7 linked regions of the Ovis aries genome follow. The protein of the gene in region 1 interacts with the protein of each later gene in a biochemical or structural test. Links are inferred from orthologs where the notes say so. Each region holds a gene or a part of one and is shown in the gene's direction. Other genes may lie near its edges.

The links.
Region 2: the proteins of NOTCH1 (region 1) and USP10 form a complex in vitro, tested with the Homo sapiens proteins (2 studies listed by BioGRID, with this or other methods). The link is inferred for Ovis aries from reciprocal best matches to the Homo sapiens genes NOTCH1 and USP10.
Region 3: the proteins of NOTCH1 (region 1) and JAG1 form a complex in vitro, tested with the Homo sapiens proteins (3 studies listed by BioGRID and IntAct, with this or other methods). The link is inferred for Ovis aries from reciprocal best matches to the Homo sapiens genes NOTCH1 and JAG1.
Region 4: the proteins of NOTCH1 (region 1) and MAML1 form a complex in vitro, tested with the Homo sapiens proteins (2 studies listed by BioGRID). The link is inferred for Ovis aries from reciprocal best matches to the Homo sapiens genes NOTCH1 and MAML1.
Region 5: the proteins of NOTCH1 (region 1) and RBPJ form a complex in vitro, tested with the Homo sapiens proteins (5 studies listed by BioGRID and IntAct, with this or other methods). The link is inferred for Ovis aries from reciprocal best matches to the Homo sapiens genes NOTCH1 and RBPJ.
Region 6: the proteins of NOTCH1 (region 1) and FBXW7 form a complex in vitro, tested with the Homo sapiens proteins (2 studies listed by BioGRID and IntAct, with this or other methods). The link is inferred for Ovis aries from reciprocal best matches to the Homo sapiens genes NOTCH1 and FBXW7.
Region 7: the proteins of NOTCH1 (region 1) and NFKB1 form a complex in vitro, tested with the Homo sapiens proteins (2 studies listed by BioGRID). The link is inferred for Ovis aries from reciprocal best matches to the Homo sapiens genes NOTCH1 and NFKB1.

Annotation. Positions count from the first base shown.
Region 1 is NC_056056.1:2,983,845-2,987,344, forward strand, and holds part of NOTCH1 (neurogenic locus notch homolog protein 1), read left to right. Parts: intron 1-1,446; coding exon 1,447-1,569; intron 1,570-2,072; coding exon 2,073-2,306; intron 2,307-2,572; coding exon 2,573-2,728; intron 2,729-2,888; coding exon 2,889-3,074; intron 3,075-3,281; coding exon 3,282-3,395; intron 3,396-3,500. UniProt on the Homo sapiens protein: Functions as a receptor for membrane-bound ligands Jagged-1 (JAG1), Jagged-2 (JAG2) and Delta-1 (DLL1) to regulate cell-fate determination.
Region 2 is NC_056067.1:10,408,622-10,412,599, forward strand, and holds the start of USP10 (ubiquitin carboxyl-terminal hydrolase 10), read left to right. Parts: upstream 1-1,178; 5' UTR 1,179-1,203; coding exon 1,204-1,395; intron 1,396-3,978. UniProt on the Homo sapiens protein: Hydrolase that can remove conjugated ubiquitin from target proteins such as p53/TP53, RPS2/us5, RPS3/us3, RPS10/eS10, BECN1, SNX3 and CFTR.
Region 3 is NC_056066.1:3,767,296-3,769,803, reverse strand, and holds part of JAG1 (protein jagged-1), read left to right. Parts: intron 1-334; coding exon 335-444; intron 445-530; coding exon 531-764; intron 765-971; coding exon 972-1,103; intron 1,104-1,503; coding exon 1,504-1,654; intron 1,655-2,336; coding exon 2,337-2,508. UniProt on the Homo sapiens protein: Ligand for multiple Notch receptors and involved in the mediation of Notch signaling. May be involved in cell-fate decisions during hematopoiesis. Seems to be involved in early and late stages of mammalian cardiovascular development.
Region 4 is NC_056058.1:1,375,313-1,379,352, reverse strand, and holds the start of MAML1 (mastermind-like protein 1), read left to right. Parts: upstream 1-1,240; 5' UTR 1,241-1,523; coding exon 1,524-1,844; intron 1,845-4,040. UniProt on the Homo sapiens protein: Acts as a transcriptional coactivator for NOTCH proteins. Has been shown to amplify NOTCH-induced transcription of HES1. Enhances phosphorylation and proteolytic turnover of the NOTCH intracellular domain in the nucleus through interaction with CDK8.
Region 5 is NC_056059.1:46,439,513-46,443,012, forward strand, and holds part of RBPJ (recombining binding protein suppressor of hairless), read left to right. Parts: intron 1-1,849; coding exon 1,850-2,024; intron 2,025-3,500. UniProt on the Homo sapiens protein: Transcriptional regulator that plays a central role in Notch signaling, a signaling pathway involved in cell-cell communication that regulates a broad spectrum of cell-fate determinations.
Region 6 is NC_056070.1:5,437,071-5,440,570, forward strand, and holds part of FBXW7 (F-box/WD repeat-containing protein 7), read left to right. Parts: intron 1-1,774; 5' UTR 1,775-1,824; intron 1,825-2,466; 5' UTR 2,467-2,535; coding exon 2,536-3,030; coding exon of another isoform or gene 3,031-3,060; exon of another isoform or gene 3,061-3,500. UniProt on the Homo sapiens protein: Substrate recognition component of a SCF (SKP1-CUL1-F-box protein) E3 ubiquitin-protein ligase complex which mediates the ubiquitination and subsequent proteasomal degradation of target proteins.
Region 7 is NC_056059.1:22,569,264-22,572,763, reverse strand, and holds part of NFKB1 (nuclear factor NF-kappa-B p105 subunit), read left to right. Parts: intron 1-1,332; coding exon 1,333-1,424; intron 1,425-3,099; coding exon 3,100-3,238; intron 3,239-3,500.

The DNA of each region.
Region 1 (3,500 bases):
CCGTTTTGCTGCTGCTGATCTAAAAATACTGATAATGACGAAGAGGTTCGAAAGCCTCCAGTCTGTCACTTGCATGGGGGTGGTTAGGCAGGGACTGGGAAGGGGAGGGAGTTTTGGGGCGGGGCGACGAGGAGGTGGGGTCGGTGGGGTCGGTGGGGTTTGGGTTGCTGGAGAGGGGAGGACCCAGGGTCCGGCTGACCCAGGACTGACCCAAAGGTCGCTCTGGCCCCCACACGGCCCTCGGCCCAGCCCGGCCCTTGCAAAGAGGAAGTGCTTTTCCCGCCCGCAAGCCCTGGGCTTGTTGCCTCTGCGTGCAGACGCCAGGCGTGTGCATTTCCGGTCCCTGATTCTCCCCTCGCCACCTGCCCGCCCCGGCACTACCCACTGCCCGGCTGGGCTATGTGGCTGTTTCAGCGTCTGGGTTCAGATGTCTTCCTGAGGGGGGTGGGCTGTGTGACCCCAGGGTCAGGAGGGGCTGTGGTGCGGGCTGGGGGGGCCGGTGGGAGGCGTGGGGGCCTGGCAGAGGGGGCTGCACGCGTGGAGCAGGTGCAGCCCCACCGGCCGGAGGTGAGCTGAGGCTGGGGAGAGGCGGCGCTTTAGGCCTGCCGCACGCAGGAGGGACTGGAGTGTGGGCGCCAGGCTCCAGTGGGGGGGGCCTCTGAGAGAGGGGCAGGAGGGGGTCCAAAGGCGCCCTGGGAGGGGCATTAATTAGTAACTGGCTGCAGGTTTGGCTATTGCCAGACGCACCTTTCTGGGTTGATTATTGAACCAGCAGGAGTCGAACGGATTAATAGCTAACTGACTGGACGTGGAGGGGGTGCCGCAGAAGTTGGCCTGGCCGGGAGAGGGCAGGGAGAGGGTGGGGGGCTCCCACCCTGCCTGCGCCTCTGCTTCTGGGAAGTCTGGGGGCCGCACCTGCACACACGCCCACCCCCGACTACCTGCCAGGGTCCCTCTGTCTCCCTGCTCCAGTTCCGTGCGAGGGGGCTCCCAGGCCCAGTGCTGCCCCGTCAAATGGGGTATCCACGGCCGCACGTGGGGGTGTGCAGACAACCCTGAGCACAGGGCTGGGCCCGCAGGCAGTGCCCAGCACAGAGGCCGTAGCGCAGATGTCTTCTCTGACAGAACCCCGGGGAGCCTGTGACCGTGGGTCTCTGTCTGTTCAGCCGGCCGTTTAGAAAACGATCACTTAGGAATGTGCTGACCGTGGGCTCTGGGGTGTGCGGCCCGGTCACAGGAGTGGGGAGGGCAGGGTGTGGGGCAGGGACCCCTAGGGCTCCAAGGCGGTGGGCGTCACAGGACAGGCTGTGGAGAGCAGCTCTCCGCCCAGAGCAGGGTGTCCTGGGTCCAGCCAGGAGGGTGCCAGAGCCCAGTGCGAGCGTGACAGGACGGTGAGGGCCTGGCCCCGTCGGGGAGGCCTGACCGGGCGACCGGCCCCTGCTGCAGGCTTCACTGGCCAGAACTGCGAGGAAAACATTGACGACTGTCCAGGGAACAGCTGCAAGAACGGAGGCGCCTGTGTGGACGGCGTGAACACCTACAACTGCCGCTGCCCCCCGGAGTGGACAGGTGTGCACAGCGGGCGGCGCAGGGGGCACCTCTGCCCCTGGAGTCTGTCCCCGTGGGGGGCAGGCAGAAGGGAGCTGAGATATGGGACGGGAAGGATGCTGTGACCTGCAGCTGACTGCCCCCCTGCCAGGGTCTGAGGCCCCCCCCAAACCCCCTGGAGCAGCACAGACGTGGGTGGCACCAGCCCATCTGTGTGAGCCATTTGCAGCCTGGCCCCAGGCTGGCCTGGCCACAGTCAGGTCCCCAGTTTGAGGCCAGCTTGCTGGCCAAGACACAGGGATGCTGGCCAGCAGGGTGCAGGCCCTGCCCACAGGTGAGCGTGGACCCCAGTGCACCTGTGCCCACGGAGCGGCCAGGCAAGAGCCCCCAGGTGCCAGGGGTGCCGGGGAAAGGCTGGCTCTGGCTGGCGGGGCTGGAGGAAGTCAGGAAGACTTCCTGGTCGAGGTGAGGGTCTTGGCTTGGCGGAGGGGGCTGGAGGCACCGACCGTCCCGGCCCCCCGCAGGTCAGTACTGCACAGAGGACGTGGATGAGTGCCAGCTCATGCCCAATGCCTGCCAGAACGGCGGCACCTGCCACAACACCCACGGCGACTACAGCTGCGTGTGCGTCAACGGCTGGACGGGCGCGGACTGCAGCGAGAACATTGACGACTGCGCCAGCGCCTCCTGCTTCCGGGGCGCCACCTGCCATGACCGCGTGGCCTCCTTCTACTGCGAGTGTCCCCACGGCCGCACGGGTGAGCGCCCGGCCTGCCCCCAGGCGGGGGGTCCTGGGGGGTCAGGCCTGGGCGAGGGGCCTCACACTGCAGCTTTGTGGGGCCCGTAAGGGGGGAGCCCCAGGAGGGGCCTCCTGGAGTGAAGCGGCCTGCCACGAGCCTCCCGGAAGAGCTCTGGCGTTGTAGGGCCCTCCACAGGGTCGCTGGCTGTGTCCTGGCGGGGGCCCTCCCTGGGGAGCCGGGTGTGGGCAGTCGGCGTTCCCGCTGACCCCTGCCGCCGTGCCCAGGTCTGCTGTGCCACCTGAATGACGCCTGCATCAGCAACCCCTGCAACGAGGGCGCCAACTGCGACACCAACCCCGTCAACGGCAAGGCCATCTGCACCTGCCCCTCGGGGTACACGGGGCCGGCCTGCAGCCAGGATGTGGACGAGTGCTCGCTGGGTACGGGCAGCCAGGGTGCTGGGGAACCTGTTGGAAGTCGTCCGATGGGGGGAGGCGGGTCTGATGGGGGAGGCAGGCACACCCCCGACTGTTCCAGAGGCTAGGGTTCCCAGAGCAGCCCCTTACCCATGCCGCATCCACCCCCCGCCGCCCCCACCAGGTGCCAACCCCTGTGAGCACGCGGGCAAGTGCATCAACACGCTGGGCTCGTTCGAGTGCCAGTGTCTGCAGGGCTACACCGGCCCGCGCTGCGAGATCGACGTCAATGAGTGTGTATCGAACCCGTGTCAGAACGACGCCACCTGTCTGGACCAGATCGGGGAGTTCCAGTGTATCTGCATGCCTGGTACGCGGCCGGCCGCCCGCCCGACCCTGGGAGTGGGGAAGCCGCATCGCCTCTGCCTCTGGCCTCCGTGCCCGCCCAGGCTGCAGCCTTCCCACAGTTATCTGGGGAGGCTCAAGCTTGGTCTCCGGGCACAGTGAAGAGCAGGTGAGCGCGGGGCGGCTGGGTCGGCCCCGGGGAGCAGGTTGCTGACCAGCCCGCTCCCGCCAGGCTACGAGGGCCTGCATTGCGAGGTGAACACGGACGAGTGCGCCAGCAGCCCCTGCCTGCAGAACGGCCGCTGCCTGGACAAGATCAACGAGTTCGTGTGCGAGTGCCCCACGGGTGAGCCTGGGCCCCGCCGCCCACCCTGCCCCTGTGCCAAGGCCGGTCAGGTCCCCCATGGTGGGGAGGGCCCGTAAGAGCCTCACCTCCGGAGTGTGGGGAGGC
Region 2 (3,978 bases), on another chromosome or scaffold:
CTGCTAAGGACTGCAGGGCCTACAATGACGTGTTAGTCGCTCAGTCATGTCTGACTCTGCAATCCCATGGACTGTAGCCCGCCAGGCTCCTTTGTCCATGGAGTTCTCCAGGCAAGAATACTGGAGTGAGTTGCCATTTCCTACTCCAGGGGATCTTCCCAACCCAGGGGTCAAACCTGGGTCTCTTGCATTGCAGGCAGATGCTTTACCATCTGAGCCACCAGGGAAGCCCAGGGCCCCACAATGCTTGCTCATATTTCCCTTTTCACATGTATCTCCTTGTATTGAAATCAAGTGGTGCCACCATTAAAACAAACAAACAAACAAACAAAACATGCTGTTAAAAACCAGAAGTAAAACACTGTAAGTCATCAATGGGTTTTCATATCCCTCCCTGTCTTTATATATAGGTAGATTTTTTTCATGTGGTTTTAATCACAGATTGGATACAGTATTGTTTCCCTAGCTTTTTAAAGTTTTTTTTTTTTTTTTTGCCAGTGTGTTCACACTCATTTAATTTGCTCTTCACATAAACCTTGTGAGTTAAGAAATTTAATTAACCTCATTCACGGGTGACGAACCCAAAGACTCAGCTGGAGGGGCCGAAGCAGGTGGTACCCTGCATGGTCAGGTGGGGCTCACTGTTCCTGGAACTAATGACCCGAAAACTGGTCTGTCTGCACACATGCAAGTAGGTGTGTGATAGGTAACACTGGATGCTTACCATTTGCCAGGCCCCAATCCTAAACGCTTTACGGGTGCGTTTTTATTTTTTAAAAATATTCTCCGATGCCTAGTTAAAGGCGTGGCACAGTGCAGGCGCTCAGTGTGTTTGTGGAATGAATGAAAAGTGAACAAATATGAATGGGTGGATGCGACCTCCATAAACGCGACTGCTCTGAGATCTTCAGTTCGCACTTCGGAGACCCCGGCCCAAGGGTTCGGCGGAGCGGGCCGACCTCAGGCCGCAGCTCCCGGCCCGGACTTCCCGAGTCCCGCCAAGCACCGCCCAGGTGGCCTCCAGGGTGGTGAGAAGCTCGGGCCGACCAGGCGCTCCGGCGTTATCACCTCAGTCCCCCGCGCTTTCCCTCGGGGCCCGGGAGCTCGGGTCTGCAGCGGGCGGGGCCGTATCCGCCTAGGGGCGCGGGCTCAGGGTCCACCCCTGGCCGGCTCCCGCCGCGCACGCCCACCTGTCGGCCGCGCATGCGCAGCGCACGCCCGGCGCGCCCGGCCTCCCCACGCCCCGCGGAGCGCTGCCAGTGCGCAGGCGCGGCGGCCGATGCGAGTGTGTATGTGCGGGCGAGAAGATGGCGGCGGCGGGGGAAGCAGCGTGAGGAGCCGGACGAGCGCCGAGGCTCATTGAAACGGGCCACCATGGCCCTCCGCAGCCCGCAGGTAGCCGCCAGCCGGCGCCCTCGGCAGGAAGAGATCCCGGGCCCCGGGCGGGCGGGCGCCGGGGTGGACGGGCGGGCGGGCGCACCCCGGCCCTGAGCGAGCGTGTGGGAGTGGGGGAGGGCGCCGGGACACGCTGCCCGGGACTAGGCCCCGAGCCTCCCGCTGCCTCCGCGCCTCGGCCGCCCTCAGCCCAGCCCGGCCCGGCCCGCGCCCGAGCCCGCCGGGCCCCGCCTCGTGGGGGCGGCAGAGAGGGGGCGCCCGGGCCGGCCTGGAGAGGGTATGGGGCGGGGGGCGCGAAGGGGTTAACCTCAGGGCTGGACCGCGGGGCGAGCCGGCGGTAAGGATGGGGCCCTGGCTGTCCCGGGAGGCGGCCGAGGGGCTTCGGGAGGCCCGGGAGCGGCAGAGCCTTCCACGCCCTCCGGTTGCCTCTCTGCCCGCAGCGAACCAAGATTTGGGGGTGCACCGTTTTCCCCGTGGCACTAAAGGTTGCTTTCGCAGTTTGATTGACCCCGTTTGGGGGGCGGGGTGGGGTGGGGTGGGGGTGAGTGAGATTGCTGGTTTTCCGGCTTTTAGATTCGAGTGACTGAGGAGTAGCTTAAGGTTACTGTTGCAAAGGGGACTCGGAATAACTCGCCAGGACCGTACTTTTATTAATACCTGCCTTTGAGTGACATCCTTTGCTTGAATCCGTCTCAGCCGGTCTGACACTATACTAACGCACACTGTCAGAGCGGTCTCTCAGGCTTAGGGGACACTTAAGATAATCCCGCAGTGGAAAGAAAGAGGAACGGGCACGCTTTTAGGGAGATAGTTTAGAGTTGAACTCAGTCCTCCCCACTCTCCCAAATACAGTTGCTCTGTTTGAAAATCAGCATGTGGTCTTATTTGTCGGGCTTGCTGTGTAGACCACTGATTTGTCGACTTCCAGTCCCTAGAAGTTGTGGCACTTTTTTGTATCAACTCTGTGTGCTGTAGTATTAACTTTGTATCAAATATAGGGAAATGGAACAAAGTAGCTATTGGAAAACTGGCGACCGGTAAATCATAACCCTCACTGTAAGCAGTTGGTTTTTGTTGCCCTTTTGGGAATGGAGTAGGTTTTAATAACTTGTAATTAACGCGTGTTGCGGAATTTAAGACGCGATAATTTAAAAAAATGACATCTTACAGGAAGCTGCAATTTTGTTAAATTTTTGGCGCTTCAGTTTGCTCTACAACTTTCCGCCTTTAACTTTTTGTTCACTAGTACGTCTGCTTTTGAAAGTAACTCAGTAAAGTTATATGCACAAAAAAAAGGGCTTAGTGGTTGAATAAGTTTTACAAGTGTGTAATTCAAAGATTTCTTTCCTTAAGAGATTTAGTATTTGCCTTTTTCTCAACTTAAATTTTAAGATGATTAGCTACAAAATAGGTACAAGGTTCATTGTGAACGAATGGGTCATAGTCGTAGCGATTTTGAAATGAAAGAAGCATGTTTAGGCATAATTCACTTCATTATCGTAAGCACCAGTCGCAGGGCAAAATTGAACTGTTAATGAGCAGTGATAATATGTAAACGTGATTGTAATTTCGTTTGCTTTCCTTGTCCTAGTGTTTGTTTTATACAGCATAACTGCCTGCATGTTGTACATCTTTTGAAAATTAAGGTGGCAACAGTTAGCTGAACATAAATGTTAGCAACACTTTGGGTTTATTCTTTTAAAGTATGATTGAAATGCTTTTAAGTTCTAGCATAGAGAAGGTAGGAAAGGAAATGGTATGATTTCTCATACTTCAAATAATTTTCTTTTTAGAAGAGTAGTAATGAAAACAGGTAATGAAATCATGTATGTGACAGGATTTAATGGTTGGATCCTGCTTAAGTCAGGCCAAGCATTTTAATAATTTAGTTTTATTCAGTTACCTCCTGTCCTAAGGGTACTGCCTTGGTCATTGCCATTCATTAATTAAAAAAATATTGATCGATCGATCACCCTGTGCTAAAGCACGATGATGCATAGTACGTGTTTACTGTGGGGGTTAACAACCACAGATTAGCAGTAGGGGCTCTATTTTATTTTGTTTTTTTCTTAGGTTTTTTTAAGGGTCCTATTTTAAAATTGGATTCTTAAGGTTACAGTTTAAAACATTTATAGATTATATCTTATTTCCATAGTATTGATTGAACCTTTTCCCCTGGATTGACGTGAAACTGAAAAACTTGGAAACATTTCTAATGTGGATAGCTTTCAACACATTTTAACAAACCCACATAATGAACTTTGACAATTGAGGTGAAAGTACATCTCTAATTAATATTGTTGTCAGGAGGGAACTGATGAAATGCTTTGGGATAATTAATTTGAACTGACCAGTGCTGTCTTAAACCAGAAGAAGCGTTTGTGATCATTGCAGTTGTTGTTAGTGAAATCTCCACAGTAACGCTTCTTACACCCTATTTGAATATCGTGTGGCTGCTCCTGTCCTGGTCCCCTGCAGCGGGCTCACCTCAATCTTTTCCTTACCTAGGATAGAATAAAGTGGCCCGTCGTTTTACACTGTGGGATTTCTTGGATCCAACTTAGAGCATATGGTAGAGTGTTA
Region 3 (2,508 bases), on another chromosome or scaffold:
CTGTTCTGTGTGCCACCCCACCCTTTTTGGACCGGCACTGTACCCAGGGCGTGTCCTTTTCCTGGCAGACGGCGGGCTTTCAAGGGGCCAAGCTCACTCCCAGGGGGAGACTCCGCTCACTTCTGTCCCTGGACGCTGCACTGATCATAGCTGGTCGCGTGGCCAGGTGCAGGGCCCGCTGAGGGGGGAAGAATGCTTGCCCGCTGAGAGCAGCTGCGCTGTCACGGGGCAAAGGGCGACAGGCCTCAGCATCTCCCGCTGGGCAGGGAGTGAAGAGTCAGGAGGATGGTCCACAGAAAGGGCAGCTCCTGCCACTCACGGGTCCCTGCCTCAGTTTCAGGGAGGTCGTGCGTCACCATGGGGAGCGTGATACCCGACGGGGCCAGGTGGGACGCTGACTGCAATGCCTGCCAGTGCCTGGACGGGAGGGTCGCCTGCTCCAAGGTAGGCACGGCCTGGCCGCCCTCATCCTGGGGCCGCGCGGACCGCCGCCGGGCACCTCCTGAGCTGCGCTCTGTCTGTCCCTGCAGGTGTGGTGTGGCCCCCGCCCTTGCTCACTGCACAGAGGGCACAGTGAGTGCCCCAGTGGGCAGAGCTGCGTGCCCATCCTGGACACCCAGTGCTTCGTGCACCCCTGCACCGGGGTGGGTGAGTGCCGGTCCTCAAGCCTCCAGCCCGTGAAGACCAAGTGCGAATCTGACCCCTACTACCAGGACAACTGTGCCAACATCACGCTCACCTTCAACAAGGAGATGATGTCGCCGGTATGGGACACTTCTGGCTGGCTCTGGAGAGGTGGGGTGTGTCCGCTTGCCCTAAAGCAGAGACATCACGAGCTCGATCTCTTCCTTAGCCTGGATTCTTGTCCTTCACCAAAGCTCAGCTTGCACGCAGCCTCCCTTTCAAGTAAACAGCAGTCTTTTTTCGTTCCGCTCCCTTACACACGTGTGGATTTTAAAATATCATTCTAGGGTCTCACCACGGAGCATATTTGCAGTGAACTGCGGAATTTGAATATTTTGAAGAACGTTTCTGCCGAATATTCGCTTTACGTAGCTTGCGAGCCTTCCCCTTCTGCAAACAATGAAATGCATGTGGCCATTGTGAGTATGAGACCCATTCACGCCTAGTCGTTTCACTGAAAGTAGCCCAGAGAGCTCACTTAGCTAGTATCCAGATGAGCAGATACATGGAAGGAGAGCTTGATGTACATGTGTATTAGGAGCTCAGTTGTATCCAACTCTTTGCAACCCCATGGACCATAGCGTACCAGGCTCCTCTGTCCATAGGATTCCCTAGGCAGGAATAATGGAGTGGGTTGCCATTCCCTTCTCCAGGAGATCTTCCCAGCCCAGAAATCCCCAGCTGGGTCCTCCCCCACTGTAGACAGATTCTTTCTTGTCTGAGCCGCCAGGGAATGGCATACATGTATGGTCAAATAATTTTGAGTAAAAGTGACTGGTGAGCATCCCTGACCCCTGTGTCTGATGCTTCCTTTTTCAGTCTGCTGAAGACATCCGGGATGATGGAAACCCTATCAAGGAGATCACCGACAAAATCATAAATCTCGTCAGTAAACGAGATGGGAACAGCTCGCTGATTGCTGCCGTTTCGGAAGTCAGAGTTCAGAGGCGTCCTCTGAAGAGCAAAACAGGTAGGTGGTGGGGTCAGGGTCCCTTTCTGAGAGGACCGTCCTGTCCAGCTCATCCATAAGACCAGCACAACCTTGCATCCAGGGAAACCCCAGGCGGGAAGTTAGCTGCTGATTCCCTGTTCAAGGATCCCCATTTTTAACTAGCAAGAAGACAGAGGCCGGCTGACATGACAGGATCCCACGGCTGTGGGCAGAGGTGGCCTGACTTGTCCCTTGCCTGCGGGCTGCCTCTGGCTGCAGGCACCGCCTGGGCAGAGTGTTGCCGTACCCTGAGTACGCATCTTCGTGGAGCCTGCTTGTGCTCCGGGGTTGGGGAACAGTCCATCCTAAGAGCGGCTTTGATGAATGGCTCAGTGGCCCTGCAGGGCAGCGGGAGTGCCCCGGGGATCCCTGGAGCATCACTGTGCTATAGCTGGCACGGGACCCCCGGGGGCGTTGGAGCCATGCGTCCCAGGGCCTTCTTTCTGATGATTCTGAGAACCACTCATCTCATGAGCTGTCTCAGTAGCCAGACGCCCCTCCCCACACAGAAGTGTGCACGCGTACGGGCTGCTGTTTTCCCTGGTCTCTCCGGGGAGGCCGGCAGGGTCTCTGAGGACACCCGGAGGGACGATGCGGGTGGGGAAGGGGCTGGGGCCGCGGTGTGGTTCACCGGGCTCCCCGCCGCCGCCCTGCCGTGCAGATTTCCTGGTGCCGCTGCTGAGCTCTGTGCTGACCGTGGCCTGGGTCTGCTGCCTGGTGACCGCCTTCTACTGGTGCGTGCGCAAGCGCCGGAAGCCGGGCAGCCACGCGCGGGCTGCTTCCGAGGATAACACCACCAACAACGTGCGCGAGCAGCTGAACCAGATTAAGAA
Region 4 (4,040 bases), on another chromosome or scaffold:
TTACGTAGTTTTAAATAGGCTTTTGAATTGCTTTCTGAAGAGTACACAAAATGTAGTGCTCCTAGTTACAATTATCTTTCCCCATTAGGAACTTTAATTCTGGTGTAAAACTTATGTTTGAAGAATGGTAAAAGTAGGACTGTTACGGTGTTCATGAGCCCTACACACTTGCTTTTGGTGGGTCACTTGTATTTTTTTTTACTGAGTTTGTATAAAAACAGGTACTATTTGAATAAAAACTCGATTTTTTCTTCTGCTTTTAAAACATTTTCATTGGCCTAGTAAGAAGTTACTGTACCAAATGTTTGAGCTGTCGACGGTGTCTCATTTTGTAGCCTTTTGGCACCTCCTGTTTCTCTTTAGCAGTTAGGGTGCCAACAGGTATTGGCACCCTAGTTTCTCTTGACCCAACAGACTGTCTAGTTTGATTGCTCCTGTTTTTTCCCCCCTAGTTTCCCACTTCCTTTGCCTACTAGGTATAATGCTAGAGTGTAATTGTCTTTAGTAGGATTTTGTCGTCTGATTTAATTTTACCTAACAGACGTAAAATTTTAAACGCAAAACTTGCAGGCCAGGCTCCCCGTTTTTTTTTTTTTACTAAAGCATCATCCTTTGCAGTTCTACTGTGCCCACTCCTTCCCCCAGGAGACTTCATATACTTTTCCTTATGTCGGCATTTTTTCTTTTAGTAGGTGTAACTTTTGAAATACTTTCATATAAGGGCAGATTGATACTCTCGATTCAGAATAGCGCGAGGAAACCTTCAGCTCGAGTACGATTCTTACCAACTGTGAGGCTGAATGTGAGGAGTGAGGTCGAAGGAAAACCGATGACACTGAAAAAGCGTGGCTACTGTTGAGCTTATCAAACCCGAATTTAAGAAGCGGTAGGAAAATGGTGAATCGCTGTGGTGCCAGACCAGCATCTGGGTCCGGCGGGTTACGCCGCGCCTGCTGCCCCTTTCCGCGGCGGACCCGGAAGGGCCTGTTCGCGTGAGGCGGCGTTTAGAGCCAGCTTCTGTCGGTCACTCAGCTGAGCGCCGAGGACTGAAGCCCGCCCAGCTGCTTCCCTCCGCCTGACTCGAGAGTTCCTTTTAAACTCCGCAAGGGAACAGCCCAGCGCGCCTCTAGTGTGCGCGGCCCCGCCCCTCGGGCGGCCCGCTCTTCCTTCTCTAATTGGCCGCAGTGTCTGTTCATCAGCTGTGACGGCAGGGTCGGCTGCCGGAGCCCCGCCCTCTTCCGAGAGCTCCGAAAACAATTTTAAGATGGCGGCGGCGGCGGCGCGGAAAACAATGGGGCCGGGCCGGCGGGGACAGGCCGAGGCCTGAGGTGGGCAGCGAGCGCCTGCCCGGGTTGGGCCGAGCGGGGCCAGAGGAAGACCCCCGCCGCGCGCGAGCCCGTCCCGCAGCTCGCGGGACCATGGCGTGGCAGTGAGGCAGCCGGGCAGCCGGCGCGGAGCGGGGCGTGCAGTGCCAGCCGGCCCGAGAGGCCCGCCTCGGGCCTGGCCTGAGCAGCCCGCGGCCCATGGTGCTGCCCACCTGCCCCATGGCGGAGTTCGCGCTGCCGCGGCACAGCGCGGTCATGGAGCGCCTCCGCCGGCGCATCGAGCTGTGCCGGCGCCACCACAGCACCTGCGAGGCCCGCTATGAGGCCGTGTCGCCCGAGCGCCTGGAGCTCGAGCGCCAGCACACCTTCGCCCTTCACCAGCGCTGCATCCAGGCCAAGGCCAAGCGCGCCGGCAAGCACCGGCAGCCGCCCGCCCCGGCCCCGGCCCCGGCCCCGGCCCCGGCGGCGGCGCCCCGCCTCGATGCCGCCGACGGCCCTGAGCACGGCCTCCCAGTCGCGGTGAGTAGGACCCGGGGAGCAGCCCGGCCTCCAGATGCTGCCCCTGACGCCGCCCAGGGCGCTTGGAGACTGCCTCAGTGCCCGCAGCGCCTTGGGTCTCGCTCCGGGGAGGCTAACGTGGCTGGGACTCAGCGGTTGTCATCTGCGGGAAATGGCACTGTGGCCTTGCCTTGGCAAACAGGATCCCGAGGAGCGACCGTAAGGCCCCGGCAGGGAAGGCTGGTGACCGGGCGGTGAAACAGTCTTCTTCCAGACTTGATTTCGAAATTCTGAGAACTCTGTTTTGGAACAGACTGGCATTAAAGTTGCCTGTGATAATGGCTTCATTTATTCTGCAGCTGTTCTTTGAGTCCTTGCTCTTTGCAGGGTCAGGGCTTAAATATGGAAATAAGACGGACTTCAGTTGACCAACTGAAACTGTTCTGAATGGAAAGTCAAGAATCTTTTGGAAATCTTCGTAAAGGCATAGTGCTGCTCATTGAGATGTACAAAAGTATTCTTTGTTTAGGCAACTCTGGAATTTGTGATTACAGCAGTATTGTTGGCAGTCCCAGTTTTAATTAGAAGCCTGTTTAAAACCTCTGATGATACTAGAGTTTGTTGGTAAATTATTACACCGTCTTGGGCTCTCAGTAGTGCTAGGGAAGTTTGTTGGTGAGAGGTTTTCCTTCCTGAAACTACTTATAAGGTTCGTTGCTATTGTTTTCTCGGTAATTTAAAGTTTAGAACAGATACTACCAATTTAATTTCTGTGTATTTTTATAATTCACGCCTTTGTTAGGTCTCACTGGGCTGTTGGCAGTACTCTTCCCTAATTAGTATTCAGATATTTAGTCTCTAACCCTTTAAATGCTATGACCCTCACAGGCCCTATGCCCAGTTTGTATTATTTTTCTTATTCTCTCCCACATCAGTCTGGACTGCTGGACATCTCATTGCTTATTGTTATCAATTCTTCTATAGTCAGGACTTCTCATCCTCACTTTTCTTCTCTGTAAATTGAAGATGTGTTTGACTTCCTCTGGGATTCTTGTAAGATTCAAAAGAAATGAGTGTCCAGGTGAAAATACTTCATAAATGGAAAGGCTGCCTGTAAGACCCACTGTGTCACCTCTCAGAATCCTGACATCCTTCAGATCCAGTTCATCTTCCTCTTTAAAACCAGTTTTTATCCTGCTCCAGAGCAGTTAGAATCTCCTTTGTCAGAACATTAAAGAAATGCATTGCCTGTGCTATTTTGAATATTTTAAGCACATCCTTGCATGCTACCTTAGAAGTGTCTTGGAAACTAGACTGTAAGCCCTAGGAGACAGGGAGGGGTGCAGCTCAAAGGAAAGACTTCAGGTTTGGGGTGGTCATTCCATTTAAGTAAATAGTGAAAGCCCATTAAAAAAAAAAATCTCAGTTTTACACACAAATAGTTGCCTTGAACACCCGCTAGAATATATATTATTAGTGATTCAGTTTGTTTAAGGAGAGTTAAGAATTTAGGTCCTCTATGATATTTTTAGCCCTAAACTACTAGAGAGAGGCTGGACATGCTGTTTGCAGAGAAATGAGTTCTGATTGTGTTCGAACTTGAGCCTGGCCTGTTAGTCACTCCTCTGGGTGATCGGGTGTGTCGTGCTGTGTTGGTGTCTTATCACAGTAAACCTTGACCCATGGGCTTCGTGAGCTAAACTTTAGAATCGAATTGCTCTGCTGCCTCCCTGCTAGGAAGAGGGACCCTGTTAGCTCCAGGCTCCACATGCTTCTAGGTGAGCGCTTTGGCTCTGGAGTGAAGTTTTAGGAATGGAAGAGGAGTGTTTAGTAGAAGGCATTTTAGTGGCTCCTTCCGTTCAGAGAGGGGGCGAGTTCTTGCCTCTTGGCCTTGAGAGAAAGCACAGCTTTGCCCAGAGAGATGGAGGGGAGAAAGTGATTATTATTTTTGACAATTCTGTATATGTATTTGATCTGATTAATATTCCTGAGTGAAAGTCGTTTCCGGCTCTTTGCGACCCCACGGACTATAGAGTCCATGGCGTTCTCCAGGCCAGAATACTGGAGTGGGTAGCCTTTCCCTTCTCCAAGAGATCTTCCCAACCCAGGGATCGAACCCAGGTCTCCCACATTGCAGGTGAATTCTTTACCCGCTGAGCCACCAGGGAAGCCCAGTACTCCTTACATAAGGACTATTATTCTTATTTTTTCCAAAAG
Region 5 (3,500 bases), on another chromosome or scaffold:
TGGTTGAACAAAGAGGCTTTGGTCACATCTCATGGATTTTTGTTATGTGTGTCTCCAAGCTGTACACCTAGACATTTGTAATTGTGATTGATAATTGGATAGGTAGTGAGAAGCCCAGCTGTTTCGTAGGTGACACGGTGGTGAAGAATCTGCCTGCTAGTGCAAGAGACCCGAGAGATGTGGATTCAACCCCTGAATCTGGAAGATCCCCTGGAGAAGGAAATGGCAGCCCACTCCAGTGTTCTTGCCTGGGAAATCCCATGGACAGAGGAGCCTGGCAGGCTACAGTCCATGGGATTGCAAAAGAATTGGACAGGACTTAGCAACTAAACAATAGCAATTGAACTTTATTGCTAGCTTTAACTGCTTCCAGCAATTCTGAGGGCAGTAATACCAAACAGCATGTCTACTTGCTTTTCTCAGCATTGTGGCTTAGTACATCTTTCATCAACTTCTGCCATTATATCATTTCCCCAAGCCCTAGAAATTTGCAGAAAATAATACCTGAGAGCTTGAGTATCAGCTAGTACTTAAAAACACTTAATTACAGGGAAGTACAGTGTCTCTGGAGAAGGCAATGGCACCCACTCCAATACTCTTGCCTGGAAAATCCTATGGACAGAGGAGCCTGGTAGGCTGCAGTCCATGGGGTCGCTAAGAGTCGGATACGACTGAGCGACTTCACTTTGACTTTTCACTTTCATGCATTGGAGAAGGAAATGGCAACCCACTCCAGTGTTCTTGCCTGGAGAATCCCAGGGACAGGAGAGCCTGGTGGGCTGCTGTCTATGGGGTTGCACAGAGTTGGACACAACTGAAATGACTTAGCAACAGTGTCTCTAAGCCAAAATTATGTGTTAATACTTAGTTTTAATGAAAAATGCTATTAGAGGAGTCTGTAGAGAATAAGATTGGTTGAGAGTCAGCAGAAGGCACTCCAGGCAGAAAGAACAATATAATCATATGCTTGGACCATCAAGATACAAGAATGAGGTCAGTTTGGTTCCAGGTAGGCAAAGATGGACCAAGCAGTGAGATGGATGCTGAGCTTGAGAAAGTGACACTTTACTCCTGTCTTACTTAACAACCATTCATTTAAGATAATATTGTTTTCTTTCAATAGCATGTTCATTGAATGGTATGATTAGTCATTATTGGGAAAGGAGGGATTCTATTTTGCATGTTGCATTCTTATTTTAATATTTATTACAACAAAGTTCTAGTATATGTAGCCCTTATTTTTATTATGGTCATGGTATTTGACTATATAGTTATATTTTGGATCTGATGTTTTAAAAATAATTTGTTAAATATTCATTTTCTCAGTTTTTGTCTTACACAGTTGAAGCTACATAAGCTATGCAACATGAATTTTTACCCTAATTAGCACTTGAATTTTTATTTTTAAGAATTACATGGCCTGTACCTCTGTTGCTAGTATTGTTTTGTTTCTATAATTCAAATTCTACAATTCAGATATTTCTATAGACTTTTGTAGCATTATATTTTGTGTTTCTTTTTATTTCAGGGCAAATGTTTTTATTGCCTGAAGGTCTTGATAATTCTGTAAATAGATGCAGAGCTATATAAAACAATAAAAGATTTTTTTTTAAGTCTTTTTGAGAGGGGGAAACAGAATAATACAGTGTTGGTATTGTAGACTCAGTAAGGAAGATTTTGTACTTTGTTTTCAGAGATCAATTTCAGTACTTTTTACAGTTGGTTTTATCAGCTGTTCAGTGGAATTACTGCCTTAAGTCTGATCAGACTTAGCCATAGCCTCATTGAGTTATTTGTACATAGCTGACAGGGTTTTGATGCTATTAAGACTTATCCTTTTCTTTCACAGAACTATTGCACAGCCAAAACATTGTATATATCTGATTCAGACAAGAGAAAGCACTTCATGCTGTCTGTAAAGATGTTCTATGGCAACAGTGATGACATTGGTGTGTTCCTAAGCAAACGGATAAAAGTCATCTCCAAACCTTCCAAAAAGAAGCAGTCACTGAAAAATGCTGACCGTGTGTATACTAGTTTTCTTTTTTCCCCCTCAACTCCCAATATGAATTAATAAGACTAATTCAACTATTTTTTAAATTAAAATTTTCTTTTCAGTAGCCAGTTCATTTTTTTAAAGTATTTTTTTGGTCTTCGCTTTATCTGAAAAAGTCATATTCAGTTATTGCTGCTGCTTTGTTGTCTTTTTTCTCTAATTAAAAATGGGCAACACCTGGTGTAGCAAAGTGGTTCTTAACCAGAATTGCTTCCTCACTGCTCCCCAGAGGCATTAGGAGAAATGGGAGTTTCCTTTTGCTGTCAGTGACTAGAGGGAGTGATGTTAGCATTGAGTGTCTAAATACCCTGCAGTGTGCAAGATGGTTCCTATTCCACAAGAATTGATTCACTCAGAATATCAGAACACCTCTTTGAGAAGCACTGTTATATCAAATGGACTTTGGAAGGCCATCATGAAAACCTAAAAAAATTTAACATGGTTGTCTGGCAGACTGCTGTTTCTGCACATTTTTAGATTTTCACCGGTAAATGCTGTTTGAATTAGACATTTCAACTTCTATACCCATTTTTCTTTTTTTATTTTGACTTTTTATTATGAAAACTTTCAAACTTACATGAAAAGGGTAGTGTTGATATAAGGTGACCAACCACCAGACCTCAACAGATTTTACCAATTCTATTTTATCATTTCTGTCACCACCAACTCTTCTTCCTCCTTCAGTTGCTGGAATTTTTTAATGTAAATCTTAGACATCCTGTCCTTTCAATCATTTCTGTAGTGGTGACTCTTAACGGAAAATTTTCCTTTTAAACATTATACCCAACAGAAGTTGATGATAGTTCATTAATGCCATCTACTGGCCAGTCCACGTGCAGATTGATCATACTGTCTCAAAAGACCTTTTCACAGTTGAGGTTTTGTTGTTTTGTTGTCTTCAGTAGTTGGCTTGTTCAAACTTGGATCCAAACAGGGTTCATATATTTTAACCTGAAATAGTTTCTGTTCTTTCTACTAGCCTTTCCTTCCTCCGTTATTTATTTGTTGAAATTGGGTGATTTTTTCCTATGCAGTTTCCATATTCTGAATCTGACTGATACGTGTTTCCTCTGTCTCTCATATCTCCTATAAACTGTTGATTAGACCTAAAGACCTTCATTTTAGAATTAGCTGGTTCTGCGTATGTTCATTTCTGTCAGATCAGAAGTCTTATTGTCTGGTTATCCCACTTCTTGTCACACTAAGACTGGTTATAGTAAGTTGAGTTGTTAGTCTAATCTAACAGTTACAAAATTCCTCAGGAAACTTTAACCAAATGGTTTTAGTAGTCCATCATGGTTGCAAAATTGTGGCGTTTCTGATTGTTTTATTGTTAACTTTTGTGTTTGTTAGCTGTTTGCTTAAAATGTAGTCTATGAAGAAAAGGCAGGATAAGTGCTTGTCTACTAATTTGAAGAATAATAGTTTCATTCATTGAAGGCGA
Region 6 (3,500 bases), on another chromosome or scaffold:
TTTGCATCAGTATCCAAGTAAAAAATGTTCTTGTTAGTGTTAGAAGAGCTAAACTTTAGACACAGTTACTAAAGCAAGGTTTTGATTGTAGCTTTGAAGAAAACCTGTGTATAGCAGATTTCCTGTTATATACATAGAGGTATTGCACGCGTGTGTGCCTGTGTATACGTGTGTGAATTTTTCATTTATGTAGGTCACTGTTTTTCAGTATGTTATTTTTAACCTGACTTCCTTCCAACTGTTCCCACATTAAGAAATTTGGTGAAAGAGATAAATTTAAAGTATTTATTTAATACTATTTTGCTTTTCCACCTATCACCATGAATATAGTATCCTTTTTAAAAATTATCCCTTTTTCTAACTTTTGTACTCTTTCTCATCATCCCATTTTACTTACTAAGGATATAATTTCACTATTTCTTCTGTATCTTGATTACATGATCAACTTTTTTTGTTTTGTGCTGGATCATTCTTGTCAGTGTATAGATATTCTGCTAGTTCTCTAGTCTTAAAGAATAAAAGAATCTTCTCTTGACACCACGTTCCCTACCAATTTCCACTCCCTTTTTTTGGTCCCCTTTTGCATCAGACTCCAACCTTGTCCATGCCCACCACCCCTATTCTCTTTTCCCAGTCTCTTAATTCTACTTTTCTCGGTATCAGACTTCAGCTAATAGAAACTGCATCTACAGCAGTGACTTGCATGTCACTGAATGCGGTGGTCAGTTCTTTGCCGTCCTCCTGCTTCATCCATCAGCCATACTTGTCATCGTTTACTTCCTCCTGCGGGGTAAGCTTCCCTAACTTGGCTTCCCTAGCACCACTCTTTCGTGGTTTTCCTGCTTAGCCATCTTTGTTGGCTACTCCTCTTCTTTTTAGGATGATGGAGTGTCTCAGGGGTCCATCTTTAAAACTCTTTCTATATTTGAACTTCTAGTGTAATTAGAATTTTTCCCCCAACTGTAGCTTATTTCTTAGAAATAGTTGATTACAGAAAAGAAAATGAAATGCCACTGTTTTAAAACTATCTTTTTGACTTTCTTGACCTCATCTTAAAGCTCGCAGTGAGACCTGTGACCCTTTCCGGGAGTGACCATCTATTGGCAAGGATTAGGAAAGTGGATAAGGCTGTTTTATTTCAAGATCATTGTAACATAAAGTAGTTACTCTTGGGACATGATAGAAAATGAATATTGTATTTCCTTCTCTTGAAATCCTTAAAGATATTTTTTAAAGGAATTTTATATGAACTTGTGTAATATGTTGGCATTATTTTCTGTAACCTCAATTATGTCCATGTAGATATTTGCGAAGGATGAAATCTAAGAAGGAATGTTATGAAAAGATTCTATATCAGATCAAATTTTAAAGCCACTGTTAAAAGCATAAAAGTAAACATGCTTGATACATAAAATTTGAGAAATACAGTAAAAATTGAGTTAAAGCACCTATCATACCACTGCCTAAATGCAGTTTGTATTTTGATATATTGTTTTCAATCTAGTCATTATGCAGTTTAAAAATCATTCTATGATCATATAATGTCCTGGATTTTGCCCTTAGCATAGTATAATATCCATGTTTTCACAAATTTTATGAGCAACATGTTTAGATGTATTTAGTTTAGATATACTAAATATGTCTCATCTCATGGGCTCCTTTGTCTTGAATGTTTGGGTTTTGATTATTTTAATTTGCATTTATTTTTACTTTTTGTTTTTGTGGATAAAGCTGCAGTGAGTATCCTCTGCATTACTTTTTTTTTCTGTTTTAGGAATACTTCCTTAGGATAGATTGCCAGAAGTGGAGTGACTGGGTCAGAGGGTATGAACTTACACATTTTTATTTTCCTTTTCTTTTCTTTGAAATAAACTTTTTAATTTATTTGATGTCTGGTTGATTTATATTCATTATGAAAAGCAAAAATCATAGTGATTATATTTGGTAACTCAGAAAACTGTCTAAAGGCAAACTTCTGTGATCAGAAAAGTTTGGAAAATTCCTAAGATTTAAAAAAAAAGCCTTTTAATCTTGGTTTATCTCAGCATTTCCTGTACTTAACTGAGCATTGAATAGGTTTTTTTTTGATATACTTTTTAACATTTTGTGGAAGTTTGATGAAGGGTGTAGTTTATGAGCTACTGATCTAAAATTTAAGAATATTTTGTTGGTTAGATTGTGTTGTGTTGGTCAAAGCAAATAAACTATAAACCTTTGTTCTAAAATTATTTTTAAAAGGAGATTAAAATAAAGCTATTTACTATATGACTTTTGTGTGTCTTTATAAAGTCTCATAACTTTTATAATTTAAAGTTTCTGTTGATTTCAAAAGAACATCTTAATGTCTGCATGGCATCTAATCTTTTTACAATCTGTATTAAAATTTGGAGTGCAGACATATAACATAAAAGTAGAAGATAATGTAGATTGTAAAATCCTTTCTTTCCCCCTCATTTTTCCCTACAGAATGTGAAAACCTTTGCATCTTCTGATAGCCTAGCCAAGGTCCAAGAAGTAGCAAGCTGGCTTTTGGAAATGAATCAGGAACTGCTCTCTGTGGGCAGCAAAAGACGACGCACTGGAGGCTCTCTGAGAGGTAACCCTTCCTCAAGCCAGGCCGATGAGGAGCAGATGAACCGCGTGGTGGAGGAGGAGCAGCAGCCCAGACACCAAGAGGAGGAGCACGCGGCGAGGAATGGGGAAGTCGTGGGAGCGGAGCCTAGGCCTGGAGGCCAGAGCGAGTCCCAGCAAGGGCAGCTGGAGGAGAACAACAACCGGTTTATTTCCGTAGAGGAGGACTCCTCTGGAAACCAGGAAGAGCAAGAGGAAGACGAAGAACATGCTGGTGAGCAAGACGAGGAGGATGAGGAGGACGAGGAAATGGACCAGGAGAGTGATGACTTTGATCAGTCTGACGACAGCAGCAGGGAAGATGAACGCACACACAGTAACAGTGTCACAGACTCTAATAGTGTCGTGGGCCTGCCTATTCACCAGCTCTCCTCCCCGCTCTATACAAAGACAACAAAAGTGAGTACCTTCAGTCTGCTCTTCACCTGAGAGATTTTACAAATCCGTGTTAATTGCGGTGAAGCTTTCCTCACAGTCTTTGTATCATCGCAAAATTAATCTTCAGTTGTGTGGTAATAAAACAAACCAGTTTTTCTTTTTTTAACAGAAGATATTAGAAATCTTGGTAATGGGACAGTATTATTAAATGGAGAGAAGGCTCCTATTACTATGAAAAATCATTAATACCAAATTTCATCATCAATTTTGTCCCCGGGACAGGGGTTATTAGGTTGTGTGCAGTGGAGAGGGCTGGAGTGAAACATGATTTGTGTGGATCAAGTAGTGAGGGATCTCATTTACCAAGTGCAGCTGGTCTGATGGGCTGTGTACTGACAGGCCTGACCCCATGGCACAAGTTACTAGAAGTTACCTCAAATTAGCTTTCTTATGATGGTGATTCTTAAGGTATATTCTTTGTAAACAGTTTT
Region 7 (3,500 bases), on another chromosome or scaffold:
ACTACAAGCAGTTACCCAGCTGCTTACTCTGATGAGCATTTTCAGAGTAAGCAGCTGTATAACTGGAAACTTACCTCCTATTTAAAGAACTATGGCTTTAAAAAAAGAAAATTGTCCTTTGAGGCCAAATGCTCTGAGATAAAAAGTCAGAAAAAATGAGATCAGATTTTAAGATAAAGGTGTATGTCTTTGTCCCCAAAATGTTTACACTTTCTCTGCAGATTCTGGTATCAGCTTTCTTTTAACCAATTCTATCCAAGTAATTATGCATTTCTAGATTCCTGGGTGTGCATACTATGAGTAAACACAATCTAAGTACCTTTATTTGTAAATGTGACTCTAAGTCATCATCATTACATTGAAATGGCTAATTAAGAGAAGTTTTATACCCAGCTTAAAGAATCTGAATAACTAGGTCCAGGGTGGTCCTATGAATGTCTTACCCAACCCTAATATTTCTAAAATTCTATTTAAATAGAAATATACATTTAGTTTTTACAAGTCAATAATGTATATGCCTCCCTGTGAATGAGGACGTGAAGCCAGGGAGATGCCAACCTGAGTTATATTGTCATATTTCTGCAGGAGTAGAATCCATGACTGAAGTGTGAAATTAAGACATTCTAATTTAACCCAAAGGGTCTAGACCAACACATAATTTAGCAGTTTCTCAACAGGGACTACTAGAATATTGTAGAGAGGTAGCATAGTAGGATGTTTAAGAGCCTGGGGTCTGAACCTTCAGTGTCCGTGTTCAAATCCTGGTCTCTCCCCTTACTAACTGTTCAGCCTTAGATAAGTTACTTAATCTCTTTGAACTCCAGTTTCTCTTCTGCAGAATGAGGATATTAATAGTACATTTGCATCACAGAGTTGAAGATGAAATCAGTTAATATATGCATATAAAATCACTTAGAACAGTGTCTGCCAAATAGTAAACTTTATATAAGTTAAATATTATGTAAATCTGCATCAAGGTGAACCGTCTTTTGGGATTCTGATATTCTTCACTATCTTTCATGTTCCTGGGGAGTGAATTGGTTTAGGGTTGGAGAAGTGGGAACGTCGAAGATTGATTAAGAGAAAACTCAGATTGAATAGGTAAATCTAGAATTCTGTCCTTGTAAATGAAACTTGGGGCCCATTACTATGGTGACAAAAAAATTTTACTCAAAATTTTAAATAAATTCAGAAGTCTATTTTATATGAATTACTTTCAAAAAAAGGTTAAGTACATAGTAGGTAGACTCTAGAACCAGCTTTATTTTTCATCACATTTACGAATGCTATTATAATGTGTGAAATTATACACCTGAACGTGACTGTTTACAGATGACATCCAGATTCGATTTTATGAAGAGGAGGAAAATGGTGGAATTTGGGAAGGATTTGGAGATTTTTCCCCCACAGATGTTCATAGACAAGTAAGTGGATGATGATGGTACGGAAGATGATACTATGTTTTCTGCTTTGTTGAAATTCAGTACTTGGATCCCAAGAATAAAAAAGGAAAAATGATAAGTATTTCTTTAACTTTCATCAAAGAGCACTATGTCTTGGAGTTGTTCCAGAAAAGCTACCTAGAATTATGGGTAAAGCTCTGTCAGGATCTGATCGCCTAGATGCAAGGCTGTGACCCTCAAATCCTTAAGTAGACATGTGTTATGTATTTCACCGGTCTGTTCAGACTAATAACAAAATATCATAGACTGAGTGAATAAAACAAAAGCAGTTTTTGCTTATGGTTCTGGAGCCCATAAGTCCCAGATCAAGGTCTGACAGGGTTGGCTCCTGATGAGGGCTCTCTCCTGAGTTGGCAGACAGCCACCTTCCTGTTATGTCCTAACATGGCAGAGAGAGAAGAAGCTCTCTGGTGTCGTGTCTTTTTATTTTTCTCTTTTTTTGCTGCTTCTCCTTTTAAGACCACTAATCCTATCCAATCAGGACCTTACCTTTGTGACATCTTTTAACCTTACTTATTTCCATAAAGGCCCTGTCTCCAAATACAGCCACACTGTTGGGGCTTCACCATATGACTTTGGAGGAAACACAGTTAGTCTGTAATGGTATTCTCCCAGAGTAACCTGAGGAGACTTGTTAAAAGGGTATTCTAATGAAAAGTGTTGACAGGAGGAGTCTTCTAGTTGAGGCTGATATCATCATGATAAATTAAGATCTCCCAGGAACATTTGAGTATATGACAAAGAGATGAAAATGCTGAATCCTCAGCTTAACAATTACTCTGAGTGATTGAGGAATACAGTTTTCACACACACACAAAATGGAAAAAATCCAAGTGCCCATCAGCTAGTGACCAGTTAAGTCAATGTGAGGGGATATTGTACAGTTATTAAGAAAGCATGAATACTCTACAGACTAACGGAAAGGTCTCAAAGATACAACACTGAAATTTTTTAAAAGATAGATATGAAACAAAGTGTATATAAAAAAAGATTCTGTGTTCATGTTTACATAGCATAAAGAAACTCTGGGAGGTTCTGTGCGTAACTGTTAGATTAAACGTTAATTTTGTGGATGAAATACAACTAAATCTGACTATTCTTATACTAGCAGATATCAAGGAGGCTGTCTTAGAGGTGTTACAGATGCCCTGTGTGTGTCTAGAGCCTCGACCATCCCCACCTCACAGTTGCTGACCCAGTCACAGTGTCTCCCTTAAGGGTTTAGTTTTTCGCTGTGGTTGTTGGCTGGCCATCCTCCTCTCTCTCCTTCCATTATGTCTTTATGATATTGCTGTAAATAATCTTGGAGGCTTTTAAGGCTAATTTGGAAAAGAGGATGTATGCAATATATTTTATTCACATGGTTATTTACACTGAAAGACATTTGAAACTTTAGACAAGTGAACTAATGAGGATTTGCAGTACATTGGCATAATCTTATATTTCAATTTCACATTGGCAATATAATAAAAATATATGGGTACAGAATTCCAAGGTTGTAACTTTCTCTAGGGTGTTGTATTTTTTTTTAAGACACTGTGTCTAAGCACTGGGCATAAAGAATGTGTTTAATGAGTACCACTGCTTTAAAAGAAATGTAGTCCTACTCCAACATTTGTATCTTTGTATCCTGCAGTTTGCCATTGTCTTCAAAACTCCAAAGTATAAAGATGTCAACATTACAAAACCAGCCTCTGTGTTCGTGCAGCTTCGGAGGAAATCTGATTTGGAAACTAGCGAACCAAAACCTTTCCTCTACTATCCTGAAATCAAAGGTAACTCGGTTATTTAAACACTTGCACTTGTTCCAACAAGAGGACAGGCTGTTGAGAAAAGGTCAGGCAGTCACCTCCTTTGACCAGCCTCCTAGTAACTGGTCCTTGGGTCCATGGTACTTCTTTTTAGAGAAGAAAGAAGTAATATATGATTTTAGGGTCATAGAATTAAGTCTAGCCTTTTAAAATAATGTTATTCCCACCGAGTTTTATATGAGGTTGAGCATTTAAAATTTCGCTTTGAATTTGAGAATCTATCATT